Danio rerio: one gene and its partner. The protein of the gene in region 1 purifies or fractionates together with the protein of each later gene. This does not show direct contact. Links are inferred from orthologs where the notes say so. Each region holds a gene or a part of one and is shown on either strand. Other genes may lie near its edges.

Region 1 (4,200 bases):
CTTCAGAACTGACTTAATCCTTCATGGCATAGATTCAACAAGATTGAATTGCTCCAAAATTTCTGTCCATATTGACATGAAAGCATTTCACGATTTGTAGACTGCACATCCATGATACAAATTTCCAGTTCCACCACATCCCAAAAGTGCCCTATTGGATTGAGGTGACTGTGAAGGCCATTTGAGTACAGTGAACTCATTGTCATGTTTAAGAAACCAGTCTGAGATGATTCGCACTTTATCACATGGCTTGTTATTCTGCTGGAAGTAGCCATCAGAAGATGGGTTCACTGTGGTCATAAAGGGATGGACATGGTCAGCAACAATACTAATAACAATACTAATGTGACCAAAGTGTGTTAAGAAAATACACCATTACACCACCACCACCAGCCTCAACCGTTGACACAAGGCAGGATGGATCCAAGCTTTCATTTTGTTGATGCCAAATTCTGACTATCTGAATGTCGCAGCAGAAATCGAGAGCCATCAGGCCATGAAATGTTTTTTCAATCTTCTATTGTCCAATTTTGGTGAGCCTTTGTGAATTGTAGCCTCAGTTTCCTTTTCTTAGCTGTCAGGAGTGGCACACGGTGTGGTCTTCTGCTGCTGTAGCCCATCTGCCACAAGGTTGGACGTGTTGTGCATTCAGAGATGCTCTTCTGCAGACCTCGGTTGTAACGAGTGGTTATTTGAGTTACTGTTGCCTTTCTATCAGCTGGAACCAGCCTAACCATTCTCCTCTGACCCCTGGCATCAACAAGGCATTTGCGCCCACAGAACTGCCGCTCAATGGATATTATCTCTTTTCGCACCATTCTCTGTAAACCCAGATTGTTGTGCGTGAAAATCCCAGTAGATCAGCAGTTTCTGAAATACTCAGACCAGCCGGTCTGGCACCAACAAACGTGCCATATACAGAGTCACTTAAATCACCTTTCTTTTCCTATAATGATGCTCGGTTTGAACTGCTGCAGATCGTCTTAACTGTGTCTACAAAATACAGGTGTACCTAATAAAGTGTATATACACACTGTATTACTACTGTGGCATTCATTAACAAAGTTATAAACAAGCTATACTATGTATAATACACTTGAATATAGTAGGCTAGGCTGTTTCACTGCCAAAACCCAAAAGTAACACATGACAGCTGTAATGGTCCAGCGTGATTCTAGTCATATTATCTAGTCAATAATTTGCACATTATAGAAATAATAATAATAACATTAACATTAAGCGACATTAACAAAGCAAATAAAAGAAATAAGTTAAAGTAGACCCGTCAAAACAGAAATCTAAGCTCCGCCTATTAGTGTTACCGCTATGATCGTGTGTTTCCTTTCTATTCATTTCGATTTCTGTGAGAGGAGCAGCGCATCGCCGCCGCATCTGAGCATCACAGTTACAGGTATGCGATTCATTCTCACTCTTTACGTATTGAAACCGTTCGCTTTGTTGACATTCGTGCAAGCATATTTACATAATTTCAGACGTACATAATTAGTCCTTGTTTTATTGCAGCGACAGGCCTGCTGAGCCATTACCGACGTGAAATGTGTTGCGTTGCGTACGCAGTAGCCTACATTTTCTGTATTTGTTTCAGGTTTATTCATTTACGTGTTTTATCTACTGCTATTTTCAGAAATGTGTAACCTGTACATAAAATAAGTCGTTTATTTATATTTAATGCGCGAACACAGTTAACCTAAAGTGAATGTGATTTATGGCATCTGATCATGCAGCTGTTGTTTTTCAGTCATCATGTCTTACGGAATGATGGACAGCAGCCACTCACAGTCACAGCCGAGAGATTTCAACAACCTCACGCAGACATGCAGCTCAAACATCCAGAAAATCACACAAAACAGTAAGTAGATATATTGCAGACACACTTTAAGTGATCGTTTAAATGAAATGCGTGCAATTACACTGCAAAAAATGCCTTTCTTGCTTAGATTTTTTGTCTTGTTTCTAGTCTAAATATCTAAAATTTATTATGTCAAGAAGCATTTTCTAGACAAGCTAACCATATTGTCTTGAGAAATAATATGCCAATATTAGGTGAGTTTTTCCTTAAAACAAGCAAAATAATCTGCCAATGGGGTAAGCAAATTAATCTTGTTTTTTCTTTTGACGTAAGATTATTTTGTTTACCCCATTGGCAGATTATTTTGCTTGTATTAAGGAAAAACTCACTTAATATTGGAATATTATTTCTCAATACAAGACAATATGCTTTGCTTGTCTAGAAAATTATTCTTAAATTAGGAATTTTTTAGCTATTTGGACTAGAAACATGACAAAAGATCTAAGTAAGAAAAGCATTTTTTTGCAGTGTAAACAGTTTACTGACCCTGAAGACACCTTTCTTCTTTTAGACAAGCACAAAAACAATGACACAAAGTAATTTTCTGGCTTGATTTTTTTTTCTACACATACACATCAATTTTAAAAAAATAATCCACATGACGACTCCATGGGTAAAGATGGTTTCTGTAGTGAAGGAATTAGTTTTTGTCAGAAAAATATCCACATTTAATGCTTTTCCAGTTTGCACATTCTCAAGGGAAGTAGCCTATGTATGATAAGCCTAACCCTTACTGTAAATTATTCCCAAAATCAGAGGGGATTAATATACTGATGTAGATTTGTATAACCCTAAATGTAAGCCTAAACTTAAACATAACTGTAAACGTATTCCTTAAATCTAATTGGCTGATTGGAAACACAGATATTGATCCAGAAACATGTTACTCGATGAAATAGTGTAAATCTTAAATTAGAATTTTGGCAGTTTTGGATATCCTGTACATTTGTATTATTATTTATATTAAAATTATCCATGTTTATGTCCTACTTCATATGTGATAGCTTGGCTCTTACTGTATGTCAATACAGATTTTTTTCCCCTTAGAGAGCATTGAATAACACGCTGTAGTGATATGGATTATTTTTATGGAAATCTTAAACTGGGGCAGCATCAAATCCTATAAAAAATATGGGAAGTTTTTTTTTTTTAATAACTCTGTGTTTGTCTGAAATAGAAAGGCATGTTGTACAGTACATCTAGGATGGCTTCAAGATGAGTAAATTATGAATTATGTTTTTCACTTGGCGAAGAGTTCCTTAAAGAAAAGATTGCATTATCTGTTAAATCTTTAACTATTTAGTTTGAATAGGTATTAATGGGCAGTTCATTGCGCTGTGGCGACCCCGTATTGTTAAAGGGACTAAGTGGAAAAGCAAGGCAGGGCAAGTTTATTTATATAGCACATTTCATACACAGAGGCAATTATAAGTGTTTTACATAAACAGGAATAAAAGAAACAAGAGTAAGAAAATAAAAACAAATAATAAGAATTATAAAAATACGAATAAAAATAAATAAAACAGATAAAAATGTGTTAAAATATGTTATAAGATAATGAAAAAGAAAAGAAAAGCATAATAGTGCGATCTGTCGACGCAGCACAGTGCTCATTCAGTAAGGGCACAGCTAAACAGATGTGTTTTCAGTCTTGATTTGAATGTGCCTAATGTTGGAGCACATCTGATCATTTCTGGAAGCTGATTCCAGCAGCGGGGGGCATAGTGGCTGAAGGCGGATTCACCCTGCTTTGACTGAGCTCTCGGAACTTCTAGTTTATATGATCCTAAAGATCTGAGTGATCTGTTAGGTTTGTATTCAGTGAGCATATATGAAATGTATTGAGGTCCTAGGCCATTTAGTGATTTATAGACCAGTAACAATACTTTAAAGTCTATTCTGAATGTAACTGGGAGCTAGTGTAGAGACCTGAGGACAGGTGTGATGTGCTCTGATTTTCTGGTTCTGATCAGAATCCTGGCTGCAACATTTTGGATGAGCTGCAACTGTCTCACTGTCTTTTTGGGAAGGCCAGTGAGGAGTCCATTACAGTAATCCACCCTGCTGCTGATAAAAGCATGAAGAAGTTACTTCACTGGAAACAAAGCATTCTGATTCTTGCAATGTTTTTGAGATGATAGTATGCTGATTTACTTACTGCTTTGACATGACTATTGAAACTCAGATCTGACTCCAGAGTCACACCAAGATTCTTGATCTTATTTTTTGTCGTTTGACCTTTAGTGCCAAGGTACGCATTCACCTTGAGAACCTCATCTCCGTTCCCAAACGCAATGACTTCAGTTTTCTCTTTGTTCAACTGAAGAAAG
Region 2 (3,661 bases), on another chromosome or scaffold:
TAAATGTCACTTTAAGCTTAATAGTATCTTCAAAACTATTTGGTAAAATATTATTTACTGTCATCATGGCAAGGATAAAAATATCTTAAAAAGTATATCGGCCTCCGATTCTAAAGAGTCATCGATTATCTGTATCGGTCAATAATTCCATATAGGTGCACCCCTATTGAAAGTGTACAAAACACATACAAAGATGGCAGACGCACGTACCATTTGTGCAGCCAGTGTGCTGGAAAACTCACTGTTCATGGCGTAGGGCAGTGCGGTCTGTGCTCGAGAGCCATATGTGGTCTGAAATCTCTTTTTTACCTCATTGAGGAAGCCAAACGCACGGGACCGCTCAAACTCCTGAAAGAGAGACAAACGGTTAAGTGTGTGAATGGAGCTGGAGAGAAGCTGAGATCATGTGACGGATACTCACATCATCAGTGATGCACAGATAGACAATCCGCTCATGGCAGATGTAGTGGAAAAGATAGCTGAGAGAAAACACAATAGAAACACTTTAAATCAGCACAAAGAATCGCTGGTAAAGTATTCACAGCACATTAGAAGTGTTTCCCAACCCTGTTCCTGGAGACACAATAACAGTACATATTTTGGATGTCCCCCTTATCTGACCTATTCATTTCAGGTTTTCTCTCCTAACGTTCTGATGAGTTGATTGAGGTGTGTTTGATTAGGAAGAGGTTAGAAATGTGTACTGTTGGTGTGCCTTTAGGAACAGAGTTGGGAAACACTGCATTAGCAAAATGTCAGTTGTACCTGCCGTGAGAATATGTGAGCTTGTTGTTTTCAGATGGGATTTTGGCCAGGATCTGTTCAGTCACTTCCAGAAAGTTGCCAGAGAAACACGCATGCTTAGCTAGAACGGTTGATCCTCGAGCCACCACGGCAAACAGGATAGCCATCACCACTGATAAACCTTATCGAACACTGGAAGATTTAAAAACACCCTCATGTCAAAGTAAATTAAAACATACATCATTGACCTTATTTGGACTGATTCAGCTTTGGTTTGGTTACATTTTGATTGCAGTTAGTTTATTTGGTTTGGTTACATTTTGTTTCTTCGTGCTATTGAGAGTTTGGCTTTGAAAAAATGTTTTAGGTAATGTTATTAAATCAAATTTTATTAAATTGGTATGAAAAAAAGTATTGTTCAGGAACTTGTATCAAATTCAACCAGTATAGGTATTGCAATGACAAGATATATACAGTTGAAGACCAAGTTATTCAGTAAAATTTTAATTCTATTAAATATTTCCCAAGTGATGTTAATAGGAGAGAAGATGGTTTCAAGAGTTCACACTTCGATATTGCTTGACGCTATTAGCAGGTTTGGCATGCTGTCCCGGTAGATAAATGAGATAATTGAGCCCAGGGATCCCGTCTGGTCAATGATCATGTAAGGGTGTAAAAGATCAGGTAGCTCTTAAGAGCTCCACCTGGTTAAGGAGAAAAGTGGGAGATGGGGTGGATGAGGGGGATTCTTCAAAAAACGAAGATAAGGGAGTGAGGCTAGACAGGATATTTATAGTGAGTTTGGAATAATCCGATTGGTTTACTAATGATTACAGATGAGAGTCAGCCATGATCAATAATATCACATGCTCCTCTTGAAATTAGTTTGTGAAACTTCACTTAAATAATGGTGTAACTAATATATCTACTTTTAATATAACTATTTGCTTTTGTCTTTGACAAAAAGGCAGTCCTTATTAGCTGTTTTGCAATATAATTGTACACAACAAATCGTTTCAGCATCAGTATGGCAATGTGCACATTCACAATAGTCAAATCGCAAGATACGCAATGGTGAGTCTGAATTATAGTTGACCAAGTCCTACAGAAATGTATTTAATTACTGTATTTATATAGAATTTATTTTTAAAAAATGGATTAGTCCAAATATCTACATTTCAAAGTGAAAACAAGATTATTTTGCTTACCCCACAGGCAGATAACTTAGCTTGTTTAAAGTAAAAATGTAATATTCTGAAGGTGAAAACAAAACAACTTGCTCTTACATTTTTTTAAATATTTGAACTAAACGAGACAAAGCAAAGTAAGAAAAGCCTTTTTTCATTGTAATTATTCAATTTCTGAACCCGAATACAGTTAGTTTCCCTAGAAAACCATCACATATAGAGCTATTTAAACTATCTTTAACAATGTTTGTACATTTAAAAAACTATACACAATCTAGCCAAATTAAAATGATTAAGACTTACAATAAATACAGAATCAAAATTTCACAGGAGAGCTAATTATTTTCAACTATATGTAAATGTTGTTGCAAAATGGTAAGCCATTTGGTTTTTCATTTTAAATTTGTAACCAGGTACATCAAACATGACAGAAAACAAAACTTTCAAAAATGCTACTCTTTTCAGATACTGTAATTTTTTTTTATAAATACTCTTTAAAAACATATAGATATTTTGAAGAAAGCTGAAAATTGTACAGACATTGTGAGCCCCTCGTTAAATTATTTACAATATTCCCAATTCTTAAAATGTGTAATTAATTATTAATTTGGGCACATTACCAGCATTATTGTTTTTATTATAATTTTTATTATTATTATTATCATCTGCCATTGTAACCTATAATCAATTATGATGAACAAAATCAAGTCCTGCCATACATCTTTTTTTTTCTCTCAATTCAGAAGCCGTTATCTTTTGGCTATATATCACAATAAGGAAGGAAATACTATCGTAACTTCTGTTTCAGTTATTACTTAAAAAGGCATTTTTTCATTCACAGAAAAAACAGCACAACAATATTATAGTTTTTAAAATAGTATTTATATTAACATTTAAAGGTTGTAGCCAGTGTCTAAGCATTAAAAAGCTAATCACACCAAATGCACATCAATCATTGGACGGAAATGGGGGAAACACATTTGAGGAAACAGTTTGCTGAACCATAGTCTAGAATTCAGTCATGATTCTAGGAAACAGCAAACCAGCTTGTGATCAAATCACTTGACTCTGATCCCGTCTCCTTTTTCTGCATGCTGACTAAACAACTGAACATAAATCATTTACATAATACATTTTTAGCAAACTAAATAATAGAAATTCTGTACGTTTTTATTTCTGTATTTTACTACTTTTAATCAACCTTATGCAAAAAATGTGTTATTCATGTAAACAAAAAACTTAGTCCTGCTTGCTGGGAGCTGCTTTCAGTTCAAACCTAAAAATGCAAGTTCACTTTATTCAATAATGTGTTTTGTATTGATTAATCATTCATTTACACAATTTATTCTATTTTAAGTTACTAGTTCATTAATACAGCAACGTTATATAATTAAGGTAAAGTTGGTTTAATATTCACACATTCTGACTTTCTCCTTAATAATAACATTTCAGAAAAGTAAGCAAATTCTAAATGCCAATCACTACTGAAGTACAACATTGTTCAGTCAAATAAAGTGCTAATGTTGTCTTCAAGTCATAATCACATGTGATTTCAGACTGAATATTCAAAGTACACTGCAAATTTTAGATAGTAGATTTAACTACCTTAGAGTTAAAATTAACACTCCCTCAGAGTTTATATAGGAACCACTATAAGTGTTAAAAATAACACTTTTGAAAGTGTTAACATTATCAACACCAAGAGAGTGTTGATTAGCAAACTCTTATTG

What was found.
Region 2: the proteins of stx12l (region 1) and sybl1 purify together in Homo sapiens (affinity purification with mass spectrometry; 3 studies listed by BioGRID and IntAct, counting the BioPlex papers as one, with this or other methods). This does not show direct contact. The link is inferred for Danio rerio from reciprocal best matches to the Homo sapiens genes STX12 and VAMP7.

The regions. Positions count from the first base shown.
Region 1 is NC_133191.1:7,959,323-7,963,522, forward strand, and holds the start of stx12l (syntaxin-12), read left to right. Parts: upstream 1-1,314; 5' UTR 1,315-1,326; coding exon 1,327-1,411; intron 1,412-1,759; coding exon 1,760-1,870; intron 1,871-4,200. UniProt on the Homo sapiens protein: SNARE promoting fusion of transport vesicles with target membranes. Together with SNARE STX6, promotes movement of vesicles from endosomes to the cell membrane, and may therefore function in the endocytic recycling pathway.
Region 2 is NC_133189.1:9,605,819-9,609,479, forward strand, and holds part of sybl1 (vesicle-associated membrane protein 7), read right to left. Parts: intron 937-3,661; 5' UTR 912-936; coding exon 766-911; intron 480-765; coding exon 422-479; intron 349-421; coding exon 211-348; intron 1-210. UniProt on the Homo sapiens protein: Involved in the targeting and/or fusion of transport vesicles to their target membrane during transport of proteins from the early endosome to the lysosome. Required for heterotypic fusion of late endosomes with lysosomes and homotypic lysosomal fusion.